Linked DNA regions of Stegostoma tigrinum. The protein of the gene in region 2 purifies or fractionates together with the protein of the main gene of each other region. This does not show direct contact. Links are inferred from orthologs where the notes say so. Each region holds a gene or a part of one and is shown on either strand. Other genes may lie near its edges.

Evidence for each region.
Region 1: the proteins of dual specificity testis-specific protein kinase 1-like (region 2) and rabepk purify together in Homo sapiens (affinity purification with mass spectrometry; 3 studies listed by BioGRID and IntAct, with this or other methods). This does not show direct contact. The link is inferred for Stegostoma tigrinum from reciprocal best matches to the Homo sapiens genes TESK1 and RABEPK.

What each region holds. Positions count from the first base shown.
Region 1 is NC_081382.1:26,602,883-26,610,494, reverse strand, and holds the start of rabepk (rab9 effector protein with kelch motifs), read right to left. Parts: upstream 3,221-7,612; 5' UTR 2,971-3,220; intron 1,176-2,970; exon of another isoform or gene 1,165-1,175; 5' UTR 1,150-1,164; coding exon 1,097-1,149; intron 1-1,096. Other genes in the region: ppp6c (serine/threonine-protein phosphatase 6 catalytic subunit), read left to right, coding at 3,277-3,351. UniProt on the Homo sapiens protein: Rab9 effector required for endosome to trans-Golgi network (TGN) transport.
Region 2 is NC_081356.1:132,183,012-132,190,706, forward strand, and holds the start of dual specificity testis-specific protein kinase 1-like, read left to right. Parts: upstream 1-4,244; 5' UTR 4,245-5,615; coding exon 5,616-5,834; intron 5,835-7,695. UniProt on the Homo sapiens protein: Dual specificity protein kinase activity catalyzing autophosphorylation and phosphorylation of exogenous substrates on both serine/threonine and tyrosine residues.

The sequences.
Region 1 (7,612 bases), on a different chromosome or scaffold from region 2:
TCGGTCTTTGAATAAAATCCTTGGCCTCTAATAAAAGCAAGTTATTTGATATGCCTTCTTAACTACCTTATTTACCCTACCTTGCCCTACAATGTTAAGGGATCTGAAGATATGCACCAAGGTTCCTCTGATCTTCACTACTTTTCGGAGTCCAACTATTTATAAAATCCCTTGCCTTGAAATCCCTCTCCAAGTGCATTAGCTTTACAAGGTTAAAATCCAACCTATATTGCCCCGCCAACTGATTGGTCCTTTGAAAACTCCATGCAGTTATGCCACTCTTTCCCACCATACCAACTTCGGCACTATGTATGAAATTCTTGATCATACCCCTACATTTAAGTCCAAATTATAACTTACATCACAAACAGCAACAGTTCCAACAATAAGCCATGCAGAACTCCTGTGTAAACAGGTTTTCTGCTATAATTTCCGTAAATATTTCTGCACATTCCCTAGTGTCTTTTTTAAGTGACATGGCAAGCAGTCCTGTACAGATTTACACATCGTCTTTCCACAACTTGTTATTCATGTATAGTTGTAACATCAAAAGAAAGGAACACAATCGCCTAGTGGTGCTATCACTCAACTGTTAATCCAGAGAGCCAGGTAATTTTCTAGGTATACCGGTTTGACTGCCACCATGGCAGTTATGGAGTAGAGCTGGATGAACACTGCAGGCCAACCAGCATCATAGGAACTTTCCTGCTCCTATGAGGCTGCTTGGCCTGCTGTGTTCATCCAGCTCTACATCTTGTTATTACAGATTCTCCAGCATCTGCAATTCCTACTACCTCATGGCAGTCATGGAATTTGAATCCAATAGAAGTCTGGAAATAGGAGTCTAATGATGATCATGAAGTGGCTCAATTGTTGAAAAAAAAATCTCATCTGGTTCACTGCCATCCTTAGCTGGTCTGGCCTACATGTGGTACAGACCTACTACAACAGGAATGGGAAATAAATGATGACCATGTGAATAAATAAAACAAAAGAAAAAATAGGGACATTATCTCTGTGTTAAGGTATCACTTTACAGTTACAATTCCTGTCAATATAGTGTCGGGTTAAATATACACATGCTTTGACAGCCTACCATGTTGCTATTTGGGGTGTTTCCCCTGGCTCCAAGACAGTCAGCAATTCCATAGCCTTTCGAAAAATCTGGAATAAAACTGTCAGACATTGAAGATTTAAACTTTTATGTTATGTTAATGTATAAAAATTACTTGCATTTATTTAATTATAGTAAATGAAATCAACCCATAGCACAGCATATTATAGTCTCAATGCGACCATAAGGTAATTTACAACTTTTACAACATCTGAAGTCATATGGCAGCAGGTTATAGTCCAACAAGTTCATTGAAAATCATAAACTTTTGGAGCATTGCTCCTTCGCCAGATGAAGATTTCATCAGCCTTCACCTGATGAAGGAGCAGCACTCTGAAGGCTTGTGATTTTAAACAAACCTGTTGGCCTATACCTGGTATCATGTGACTTCAGGTTTTGTCCACCTCCACATCTTTATAAAATCTGACATTGGCATTACGACTTAGATTGGTGCATGTAAATATCGTAAACTACCTGTCAATGGCTGTCTGCAATTCTGAATCTGTTTTCTCATTCAAGCTTTCCTACCAATTTTTGAGGTGGAGATGAAAAATCAAAAATGCTAAAAGTCTTAGTCTGATATCCCTAGACTATGCATATTAGCAGTTGAGTGATAACTACTGTATTCTTCACTTCAGTTCCACAAAACACCATTCAAACTGTTGTGTTGTAGTGGATCTCAAAATTAACAATTTATCTCATGACATTCTCTTGCATTCTCCCTGTAATCCTGCACATTCTTCCTTTAGACGCCTTTATTAAACCTGCCTTCAATGTACATTCCATATCCTGACCACTCAATGGGATCAAAAACATTTTCCCCCGCATATCACCATTGATTCTTTTGCCAATTTCTCAAAGGCTGTGTCCTTTTGTTCTTCAACCTTTCACATAAATGGCCACTGTTTTTCCCTTCTCCATTCTGACCTGATCCTTCATGACTTTTGAAAGCATCTAACAAAGCTCCTCTCTGCCTTCCAGAAAAAACATAATGACAGCACTAATCTTTCTAAGCAATTGAAGTTCCTCATCCTGGAGATTATTCTCGTGAATCTTTTCCAGATTCTGTACAGTGCAATGCATACAGCTGGATGAAATGTAATTGCCAGTGCATTTTTAAGCAAGTTTAACAAAATCTGCTTGGTTCTTCCTTCCTAACTATAAAGCCTAAGAAACTGTGCACTTTAACAGCCACTCTTTCAAACTGTCCTACCTTCACTGCTTTATGCACACTCACATCTCTCTGCGCTGTGCATCCTTTAGAACTGTAATTTTTATTTCGTATTGTCTGGTTTTCTGCCCTTTATCTACCAATTCTATCATCATGTCCATGTTCTCTTGAAGGTCGACACTGTCTTCCTCAGAGATCACAATCAATGCCTCCAGGTTCTTATCATGCGCACAGATTGTGATTATGCCCCGATTTGCTAAGTCAGTATCATAACTGAACAATCACTGCTACTTTTTTTTGTCTTTTCGTCATCAGTTTGCACGCAGTCACGATTGATTTAATCTCGTGGGCTTTTTAAAATAAAACAATGAGGAGCAAATTAAATATTGGACACGTGCCCCGTTTTACAATCTTTTACAGCAGCCTCTTCATGTTCTTCTGATTTAAATGGAACATTCTGAGAATATTTGAACAAACGCCGATCTTCTCCAAACAGGGAAGTTTGATGTGAAATTTAGTGTCACTCCAGCGATTTAAAGGCCAGCACTGAAAGATGCCACTTTCCAATTCCCCTTCCCTCCAAATTCCATTTACTGATTTTCAGCACTTCGATGACTAACCGTTAGAGCATCTGTTACTCGCTATAATTACAGCAATATAAGCCTATGCCTCAAATGCTTCATACCTGTCGTTCTTCCCAATTTTTTTCTCGGGTGTTGCTAAAGGGAATCTACAACCCTTGAACTTTCAACTTTACCACCGAGCCGGCCAATGGAGAGGGCGGTGCGTAAAAACTGTGGGATTAAACAAAGAGTTTCGGTGTGTCCTGGGGAATGGGGTCAATCTTCAAACAATACAAAGTGGTCATTAACGATCGAACGCGTTTCGGGGTAAGGTGAAGGTTTGAAGCCGGTTTCTTTAGCCAGCGGCCGGCGCTTTAGATACCGGAAGCGCGTCATTGGCCTGGGGCTTGCTCAGTCCGTGTCTCAAAATGGCGCCTCTGGACCTGGATAAGTATGTGGAGATAGCTCGGCAGTGCAAATATCTTCCAGAAAATGACCTAAAGGTAACGTGTTACAGTTTCCGCTCTCCCCCACCCCCGAACTTTATTTTGTATGTTTTTTTGTGTCTGTCTATTGCTAAATCTATTTGACGCCTCAGTGTCGATTATGTTTGTAGCGACGCAATGGGACCTGTCAAGACTACAGCTTTAGGCTGTACCCTTACGTTTTTGGGGCCTTACCTCTTGTGTCCTAAGTTCTGTGGCATTTGTTTATATTTGGGTTTTGACATAAATTTAATGTGTGGCAGGTAGACTTCCTTAGCGCTATTATCTGTGGATCTTTACATTGACAGCGTAATGTCGCCGCAATCAAAACATCACAAGTGTTAACCCCACCACTCCCGGAGAATGGACCTCTAATAGGTGAGAAGCCTCCCCTGAATGCTGAACTGGGACGCTTGAAGTGAAACGTAGTTTGCTTCAACGAAGGATTGGATCATTTCGTAAAACAATTCACAAATTTTGTTCATTTGAGGAACTTGACTTGTTGCTGACTAATCACGGTTAATTCTGATCCAAAAGTAAGTTTTTGTTTCAATTAGGTTGAGGTAGAAGATTTCACTCCAGATTAAAACTATAGCTTCTTTTTGGGTTCAATGTTGACTGTACCAGGAGTGGAAACTTTCGGAGTTGAGTTGTGGAGAGGTTTAGTTATTAATGCTAAACTGTTATGCAGATTGTTCAAATGCTAATGAGTATTGACTTAAATGGTTCAAGTGAGAGAGTAATTAGTTGTGATGCTAGAGAGGCTAAAGATTGATAAAGAAATGTTACTTTCAACGAGATGCATCTGAGAATACTGAGAGAAACAAGCATTCAAATTGTGAAGGTACTGGCTATAACCTTTTAATGTACAGAAATGCTACCGGAAGACTGGGTGATTGCAAATCACACATCTGCTTAAAACAGGATGGAGTTTTTGATGAGATAATAGAGGCATTTAGTAACAGTAATAGGCTCCTGTAGTGTATTTGGAGGTGTTGGGGGTGTTTAGATACTGTTGAATATGCCAGAGCAGGTTGCAGTAGTGATTAAGTCTTACAAGATCCTGCTCAGTATTAATATGTGGATGGAGAAGAAAAACAGAAGCTCTTTATTTAAGATAAAATATTGATTCAGCTTCTACTGCACACTTTTGTTCCCATTTGGTGTGGCACGGTGACCCGCTGCTGCCTCAGCGCCAGAGACCTAGTTAAGTTCCAGCCTTGGGCGACTGTCTAATGTGGAGTTTACACATGTCTGCTTGGGGTTTCCTCTGGATGCTCTGCTTTCCTTCTCAGTAGAAAAATGTGCAGTTTAGGTGGAATGGCTATGCTGGTTCATCTTCTTGTCTCAGTTTAGATAAATGCTGCCTGAACAGCCTGCATTAAGTCTATAACTCTAATAATCGCAAACTAGCATGTTGCCCTTTTTACCTGGACATCAGCTCAAGTAGGCCATTAAATATATTCCTCAGCCACAAATTGTAGATGATTAACATGCATGGACCGTTTTGGTGACATGTTTGAGAATGTGATTATAATGAATATTCCTTGATGTTAAATGTAGTATTGTTCAGTAGAAATTGCTGAATGAGCGGTAACGGCAATGTAATTTAATTGGGCCAATGATTTTTAGTCTGGTTAACATTCTTGTAATACAAATGCTGGATTCGGTGAGTGTCTTTACTCATCTTACTGAAGCGTAATTAGTTAAAATACTTAATGATCAAAGAAACACTCATACATTCAGTTTTTTTTTTAGTTTGCCATTTTCCCAGAAGATGCATCAAGTTTGAAATATATTATACTGTGCAAATACCATATGAAATTAAAGGCCAATTACACTTTGTTACTGTTCGTATTTATCATTCAGGAGTGATAAATTATTAGTTATGCCTTTAGTCAATTCTGGATTGCCACGTTCTTTTCCTCACTTTTTCTGCCTTCTATCTGTCACCTCTGATTATTCATGCTTCAGTCATTTATTCACTGTGTCCAAATATCTCATTCAAACCCCCAATTTCTCAAATCTATTTGCATAAATGTAATTCCTCATTTTAGAGCCGTTTAATACATTTTTCTTTCCCCAAAGTTTTCATGTTCTTTGTGAAATTAAACAGAGTACTCCCAGTCGAGATCAAGGTAGTGTTTTATGTAGGTTTAGCATAATTCCGTGAATTTTGTACTCTGTCTTTTACTTAAAGCCCAGGATTGCATCTCCTGCTTTGTTAACTTGCCCATTGGCCTCCAAATATCTATATACACATGTTCCTAGGTTTGTCTATTCTGGTAACACTTTATAAATTATACTATTAAGCTTTCGTTGTCTTTTGTTCGTTCTTCTAATACTGTTAGGTTCGTTTTTCGGAGACCCGCACAAACTTGATGCAATAGCAAGACACTGACCTGGCTACAAAAACACAATCCTTTATTATTAAACAAGAACAAGCTGTGGAGGATCGCTGTACTCAACCTGGCACAGAGTGCTGAGTTCCGTTAGCAATTCTCCCCGAACAGTGGACAGTCCCCGCTTTTTATACTCTATTTTGGCTGATACAAAAAACATTTACTACATTTGGAACATATAGCGAACAGAATACAGCATTGATTGTTCACGAAGTGACTGGTAACGATTTCAAGCCGCCAAAGTGTCTGGCTTGAACAGAGGTCACTGACCTGTCCACTTCAGTAGAAACAGAAGTTTCATACCTTTACAGAAGTTTCACCCTTTTACAGAATTACAAATCATACCTTTACAAACATTAGCCACCCAATCCTATTTTGGCTGGAAGTTTAGGACAGTTTCCACATACCCCTGTGTGAGAAGACAAGGAGCACAAAAATTAATGAGATGTTATCCCATTAACATCTCAATACTACCTCTCATTTCTCAGCATCTACTATGTCTTCTGTACCTATAGGTAGTGCCACAGGATCGACAGGGTATGGAAATGTATCATGTGCTCATATAGAAATTGATAAACATGAACATTTCTCTAAATAAGGCTTTGATCAGCTGCATTGAGGGTATTGTCCAGTTTTGGTCATATACAAGCATACTTCTGCATGTTTCACTGTGAACTGCTTTCCCGTTCATGCAGTGCAGAATCTACATCTTAATATTTGCTTCTCTTTTAACCCTTTATACCAGGCATTTATGTGGTGTATTAACTTATAAAATCACTACAATGTACAACAATCTGGTAAAGGATGCTTCATAATATTCACTTCAAGTGAAATAGTTAAAAATGAGCCTTGAATGTATTTAGATGTTTATGCTGGTGTCTTTAAGTTTCAGGTATGAACCACAGTTGTGTAATAGTACCTAAGCTTTGACTGAGGTTTTGTGAGCTATATTGTTGATTATTATCGCATATCACATCGCATATCACATCTGTTAAGATGCTACTGAGATTTGAATCAGGGTATTTACGATTATAGTATGTTATGTTCTGAAGAAGTCCCATTCTGTGGGGATGCTCTTTTCTTTGTATATAGCTAAGTATTTTCAGTGTTTTGATGTTAGATTTCCAGCATCTGCACTGTTCACTTTTTATCACACTGTGATTGTAATGTTTTTTAGCATGTGTATAAACGTTATGACACAAAAACAAACTTGAAACTGTGTGAAGGTATTGAAAATAGAAAAAGGATTTGGGTGGCATGGTGGTTCAGTGGCTAGCACTGCATCCTCTCAGCACCAGGGTCCCCGGTTTGATTCTGCCCTCGGGCAAATGTGGAGTTTTCATATTCACCCTTTTGTCAGTATGGGTTTACTCTGGTTTCCTCACACAGTTCCAACATGTGCAGGTTAGGTGGATTGGCTGTGGTAAATTTCCCAAAGTATCCAGAGATGTGCAGGCCAAGTGGGTTAGCCGTGGGGAATGCAGGGTTACAGGGAGAGGGTAGGATGGGATGGGTGGGATGCTCTTTCTTAAAAAAAAAAAGCAATCAACACAGTGGCTAAGTGGTTAGCACTGCTGCCTCGCAGCACCAGGGACATGGGTTCGATACCACCCTCGGGCGACTGTCTGTACAGAGGTTGCATGTTCTCCCCATGTCTGTGTGGGGTTCCGTTGGGTGCTCTGGTTTCCTACCGCAGTCCAAAGATGTGCAGGTTAGGTAGATTGGCCATGGTAAATTATCCGTAGTGTCCAGGGGTGTGTACGTTAGGTGGATTAGCCATAGGCAATGCAGGGTTACGGGGAAGGGTAGGGGGATGGGTCTGTGTGGGATGCTCTTTGCTGATCAAACGAAACCTTGTGAACAACGGATGCTGGATG
Region 2 (7,695 bases):
CAGGTTTCCTGGTTGGATGAACACATCAGGCCAAGCAGAGCTTTTGTGCCCCTAAGATGCTGCTTGGCCTGCTGTATTCATCTAGCTCCACACTTTGTTATGTCAGAGATTCTGTTCACTCTAGGAGATGGGTCTGTGCTACCTGGACCAGTTTCAAGTACTATTCACGTGTAAATAAACGTGACTTGCTGACAGAATACTGGCCTTTGCTGAGTTTTCAGGAAGTTGACACACCATGCTTCATTCTAAATTTGCTTTGCCTCCATGGGACAGAGAAAATTCCAGCCAGAGTTACAGAACTGTTCTGACAATAAGCTTTTAACCTGACATGTTAACTTTGATTCTGTCTCCACAGATGCTGCTAGGGTGTGCAGCATACGGCGTGGATCTGTTCTGTCACCTTGTTTTGAAAATGTCAATTTGTTTTGCAAACCGCACACTGCCTCTCTAACTGTCATTCCTGGTAGCTATTAGAACTGAATATACCCATCCCATGTCTCTGTCAAGGGACTTGTTTGTTTCAAGCCCACTGGGTACCATTTTGACTGTGTTGTCGTATGAGTATCTAAGTGTCAGATGGTTGATTATGGTTTTAAGCCTTATTCCAACAATCAATCAAGGAAGACAACTCAGTGCATCACATGAGTGAATGCTGTTGTTTGGATCAGACAGTTAACTAAGGCCCTGTCTGCCTGTTCAGATGGATTTAATAGATCCCAAGACACAATGCAGAAAGCAGCAGGAGAATTTCCAAGCGTGGATCTTGATTTTGAGAGATTGTGCATAACAGGTTTGTCTGTTTTAATGTGTTTTTGGCCAAGTCAGTGTTTATTACATTTTCCAACCAACCTGTTCAGCAATGTTACTTTACATCTCTGGAGCAGGTGAGACTTGAACCCAGGCCTTTTGGCTCAGAGGTAGGGACACTATTACTGTGCCATGGAGCTCACCCCACCCCCCACAAGCCAGCATTTATTGTCCATCCACAAATCACTCACCATTTTATTCCATTCAAACCAGCTGCAATAAATATTGGAAGAGATGCCTGTTCCAAAACTTATAACTGACTTGTAATTTCAGCTTCATCTGCTGACATTTGTTCCATATTTCCTCATTTGGATACCATCTTTCACAAAAGATCATCACTTGCACTGTAGTGGTAAACTCTGTTATATGTTGTCTGGTGTGGCCAGGAGCCACACTCTGACAGAGCAGTCTCTGCTTCAGTTACTGTAGAGGAAGACACTGAGCTGAGAAGGTGCAGGATGCTCTGGCTTCAGTTTCTCTGAGCCCCTGTTCTCAGCAGCTGAGTTTTTTGTTTTCTCTCACCACTTCCAATGACCTTCTAGTCATCCTCCAGAGATCCCGGCCATCAGCGACTGTCCCCCATGTGGCAAAAATTTACCAAAAATCCTTGAATAGCACCTTCTAAACCCTCAACCACTTCTATCTAGAAAGACAGGGACAGCAGGTACATAGGAACACCACTTGCGAGTTCCCCTGCAATGCACTCACTCATCCTGACTTGACAATGTATCACTGTTCCTACACTGTTGCTGGGTCAAAATCATGAATTCCGTCCCTAAGGGCATTGTAGGTCAACCTACAGCACGTGGACTGCAGCAGTTCAAGAAGGTGCTCCCCACCAAATTCTCAAGGGCAACTAGGCATTAAAGCAGACTCAGCTGGAGATGCCTATGTACTACAAGTGAACAAAAAAGTCCTACGACAATCTTTTGATAATGAGGAGGAGAGTTCTTTCTGATGACCTGACCAATATTTATTCTTCAATCCATTTCACTGAATCACATTGACATTTGTATCTAATCTCGCTGCTTTGTTTTCTACATTACAACAGTGACTTTATCTTTTTCTCTGCTTGGAGGCTGTCCAAACTACAGAACCTCAACCTGTGCCACAAGGATCATTTCCAGATGGAACAGGGGGAAATGTATTGAACCCCATGCTGTTGGCTCCCATCTGAACTGGCCATTGAACCCACGACCCCCAATGAATCTAAGTATATGGTAATTCAGAGGATGGACTACCTGACATTGGTGTGTTGGATGAATTTCCAAGTCAGTACTCAACCTGTTTGACCATACATTCTGTGGCCACTACTTGTGGAGTATGGACTTGAGCCAGTTTTGGCTGAAGTGGAGAAGCTACCTACTGTGCCACAAGACCCTCCTACAACATTACACCTCCAAAGTTATTTCTTCGTAAAGTGATTTGGGATTCCTGAGGTTGTGAAAGCTGTGACAAATATATCAGTGATAATGGGAACTGCAGATACTGGAGAATCCAAGATAACAAAGTGTGAAGCTGGATGAACACAGCAGGCCAAGCAGCATCTTAGGAGCACAAAAGCTGACGTTTTGGGCCTAGACCCTTCATCAGAGACAAATATATCAATTTGTTTGTGTGATTATTGTCAGCAAAGTGCCCACTGTTTTTGCAATCTTACATCAGTAATGAAGGGGTGAAAAGTACTTAATGGCTGTAAAACACTCTAGGATGTCATAAGGTGTTGAACAGTTTGAGAGAAATTTGAGTTTTATATTCAGATGTGAGGGGTTTATAATGTTCTGTACTCATGGAAGCTGATCCTGTATATAAATACAAGTTATTTCTTTTACTGTACTGGAAGAATGTTAGATACTAAAGAATTCTTGATCCTGGGGCTACTGGCAAGAAACTTAACCATGTAAGTAAGATGGCTAAAACAGCAGGTCATAGGCTAGGAATCCTGCAGCGAGTAACTCACCTCCTCAATCTCCAAAGTCTATTCACCATCGTCAAGGCACAAGTCAGGAGTGTGACAGCATACTAGTCAAGACTTGTCTAGATGAGCACATTAACGTAGCATGCACTTTTATAGAGCATCATTTGCATTGCAAAATCTCCCAAAAGTATTTTAGAGGACTGATGTCAGACAAAATTTGACATTGATTTACAAAAGCAGGCGTTGCACCATCATCAAAAGTGTAGCGGGAAAGGGAGGTTTAAACCTTAAGGAAGAGAGAGCTAGAGAGGTTTGAGAAAGGAGTTCCAGAGCTTGAAGCCCGCATGGCTGCCCGTTTAATGTGACTGAAATCAGGAAATGCTCAGTGGCCAGAATTGGAAGAACGTGGAGATCTGGAGTACTGTGGAACTGGGGCAGATCAGTGAGGTGGGATGGGGAAGAGGCCATGGTGGAATTCACTGAATCATAAAAATCTTACAGCACAAAAGAAGGCCATTTGGTTAATTGTGTCTGCACAGGGTCTCCAGATAAGCATTATGATTTAGTGCCAATCTCCTGCCTTTTCCCCATACCCTTATATATTGTATCTATTAAAATAACCATCCTTTTCCCTCCTGAATGCCACACTCCACGAACCCCTACCATATTTTCAGTCAATGCTTCCAGTCCCTAAACATCCTGTGTTAACATTTTTCCGCCTCACGTCATTCTTACTTCTTTCATAAATCACTTAAGTCTGTGCTCTTTGGGTTCTTGATCCAAGGTGGAACAGCTCTGAAAAACAGTAGGATTGTTCCTTCTGAACAGTTGTGTTGCAGGAAAAAAAACCTAGCAGCCAATTTGCATACAGCAAGATCTCCTTAGCTAGCAACGTGACTGTGTTCTGATAAACAGAAAGAAAGAATACTGGAGAAAGTCAACAGTTCTGGACAGCATCTGAGGAAAGTTAGAGGCTGAGTTAATGTTTTGAAACCGGTGACCTGATGAAGCTGTTTGAGTGATGTTGATTGAAGGTTATGGATGATGTGCAGGTGCCAGTATTGGACTAGGTCAGCAATCACACCACACCAGGTTCTAGTCCAACAGGTTTATTTGAAAACACAAGCTTTTGGAGCCTCAGTGTTAGTGCGAGAGGAAGTATCGGACACAGAATTTATAAATAAAAAAATCAAAGGTTCACACCATTGATGAGGATGTAGCAAACAAACCTAAGATGTGTCAAATCTTTAATCAGTTCGGAGGTTTTAATTGATTAACATATTTAAATCCCTTAATTCCTTTGAAGTCACTGTCCTGAGAGAACTAAAGGTGACATTTTAGGTCATTTGTTTTCTTTTTCCACTCAGACTGACCGGCAACCTGTATTTTCTGGACGTAGCGAATTGACAGTGAATTTATACAGCCCACAGGCGGCGCCTGGTCCCTCTATCCTTCAGTGACAGGGTGGAGAATGAAGGAAGGCTTCAGTGGGGTGGGGGGGGCATTTCAACAGCGCCGCCTTCTACCGTGCCTACCACATATGGGAACACGGAGTGTCAGCAGCATACACACACACACACAGTGTGTGGGAGAGACAGCGTTCCGGAATAACACACACACACACACACCCCATCGATCACGCCCGGAGCACGATCCAACCCGAGCTCGCTGCTGCAATAAACGGAGCCAAACAAAAACAAAAAGAAGCGGAGCAGGAACGGCGGCGCTAAAATCGTCATTGTCGACGGGAACCGGGATCGGAGCTGGATCAGGGAGCAAACCAGGATCAAATCGACAGTGGGATTAGAGAGAGAGAGAGAGAGAGAGAGACCAGCATCAAACCAGCAGCAGGTTCAGACCTGGAGCAAGATTGGAAGGGAAACCAGGAACGGATTTGGAGTACAATCAACGCAGGAAGTCAGGATCAGACCAGGAGGATGTTTAGACCGGGGTCAGAATAGGAGAGATATCAGAGGAGAACCAAGACCTGCAGCAAGATTAAATCAGGCTCAAACCAAAAGCAAGGTGAGGGGAAGACTAGGGTTAGACCAGGAGCAGCATCCGAAAGAAAACTGACAGTTTACCTGGAGCTGAATGAGAGGGGAACCCAGAGCAAACTTGGAGCAGGGTTTGGGGAGGACTGGGGTCAGGATAAAGTTTGTTCAGGATTGCCTTTGGTAGAGCAGGCACACAGATTCCATCTCAGGGTTGTCGCTGTAGTTACAGTTTCACATTGTCCAAATTGAGCCCTGCTTTCAGGTTAGTGTTTTACTTGGGATTCCTCCCGGGAGGAGTACGTTTCAGGCACTTTACTGCTGAAAGGGTTGCAGAGATCCTGACATTTGGTCGTATATTGATGAATTGGCTGATTATCAATAAATTGGACCCTGATTATTGACTGATGAATTGTCACTGTATCAACCTGTCATTGTTGGATTATCCATTCATTGGAGCCAGGCTACCAATAGATCAGGATTTAATTATTGCCTGATGGATCACCAGTTAATTGTCGCTTTCTGGATTAACAAAACTGGATTATCACCCTATTGTTACTGGATTATCACTTGATTGAAATCAGATCACTGACTATAAATCAGAGGGTACTTGTCATCTTGCTAATTGATTGGCACTGAATGATTGATATCTGCTCTGTTGCCAATCTGAGCCAGTGCTGTATTATCAATTAGAGCTGATCAATTCTGATTAATTTTAAATAGCCTGCAGTGGACCCATCTTTGACTCTGGTGGTTTGAAGACCTGCCCATAAATCCTGGAAATCTTCCCTTCCCTTCTCTTCCTTTCCCACCATCCTGTCATTAAGAGTTTCTTGATTTGGGAAAAATGTGAAAAAGATTTCAGGAGTTGGGGGGGGTGGGGGATGTGAGGGGAGATGTCGAAAGAATCAGCACTCAGATTGGACCTGTCCAGTGATGTATTGATACCTGACCCTGGCCCATATTCTGCTCCAGTGCTGGGTGCGATACCTGGTTGCAGCCATCTCCGCCCCTCTTCGTACAGAGCACTGCGTAGCGCTGTCTCCACCTTGACCAGGATCGATGATTTTCACTGTGAGAAAATTGGGTCGGGATTCTTCTCTGAGGTGTTCAAGGTAGGTGGCTGTGAATGTTGCGCATGTTACCTGTGAACTTGTTGATTGATAATTTGGTTGAGAGAGAGAGAGGCACTACCAAATACCTGAGACAATAACTGCTGCTGGGGATATTGTGTACATGAGGGGTCAGACTGTACCTGAACAGTGTGTCTGTGCCTGCTCTGACTGTACTCGAGGATCTGTCTGCATATACCTAATGATCATACTATTTGTTTGTATGTGAGGGTCTATGTTTACCTGATTAGTCACTATTACACAAGCTGGCATCTGCTACTGTATCTCTGGTTTGGAAATGTGCTGAAATCTGCAGTTGAGACTATAATTGGAAACATAGTTCATTATCTAGAAGATTAAATGATTAGTTAAAAGCTTTATTGGTTGATGTGTACCTTTCAAAAGGATTAGTGATCATAACAATAAGAATGACTTACATTGGGTATTCTATCAAGTTAGAGTCTTGATATTAATGTGTTTCATGAGAAAATTATGTAACAAAACATGCTATCTAGCCACATTAGGTTAGATGACCAAAAGCTAGGTCACAAAGTGTAGGTATTAAGGAGCATTATAGAGGAAGAAAGTGAGGTAGAGAGGGAATTCTGGAGCTCCGGGCCCAAGAAGCTGAAAAATCAATTGTCAACAGTAACATGATTAAAACCAGGGATGCTGAAGAGACCAGAATTGGGTGAAGGCAGACATTTCTAAAGGTTGTACAGGAAGAGGGTGTAACAGAGATAACAAGGGGTGAAGCCATACAGGGATTTGAAATCAAGGATGAGAATTTTAAGTCAAGTTGCTATTTCGGTGGGAGCCAGTGTAAATTGCTGGGTGACAGGGGAACAGAAATGATGCAATTTGGGCATCAGGACTTGGATGACTCCAAGTTTATGGTAGGTAGACAGTTAGGCAGCAGCCTTTTGAAATCATTGAGTCCAGTGTGTTAAAGGTGTGGATAACAGTTTCAGCAGCAAATCGGCTAAGCTGCAGAAGTGAAAATAGACCCTGGGTGATTTCATGGATGTGAGGTCAAAAGCTCATAAACGGGTCAGACACAACACCAATGTTGACAAAAGCCTAATGGGAAAGCAAAATACTGTTGATTCTGGAGATCTGAAATAAAAACAGAAATTACTGGAGTAATTCAGCAGCTCTGGCAGTATTTATGGTGAGAAAAACAGAGTTAACTTTTTGAGCCCATTATGGATTCTTCAGAATTGCTAAATACATCCCAGGAAAGAATAAAAGAAATGTTTTTCCATTCCTCACGAATGTTTCTAAAAGGCAACCCTATAAATTGAATGCCTCTGATATGAAGAGATGACATTTTTTTTAAAAATCTGTTCTTTGATAAACAATCTTTGTTTTCTTTTGTAACAGTCAACAAAGAAACAGTTGGTACTGCTGAACACGGGTGTTGTCTGTGAGCTCTTCACAACAGAGAAACATCATTTATGTGTTCAGAAATATTCTACTGCACTAGCTGTTCACAAATCCAAACTCTTGTTGTCATGACTTCTGTCAATCCTACCTTTACAAATTGCTATGTCAACATTTCCCACTCCGTTTCCTTTCCTCACCTGTCACAGTGTAATTGCAAACCTTAGCCATTAGGTGGCAAGCATTCCAAAACTAATTATTGACATCATCATTTCTCTGCGCCAGCTGAACGTGGACAGTTTGGTGCCTGCCAATAAAGTTCCATGAATGCTCTCATGAATTGGCTGAATTCACAATCTGCTATGTTTAAAAGTCTTTTGAGGCAAAAGTCTGTCATCCTCACACGATGAAGAGGCTTCATTGCCATGATGATGCAGTTTTCCTACTGGAAATATCTACACATGTTCAGAAGGTGCACACA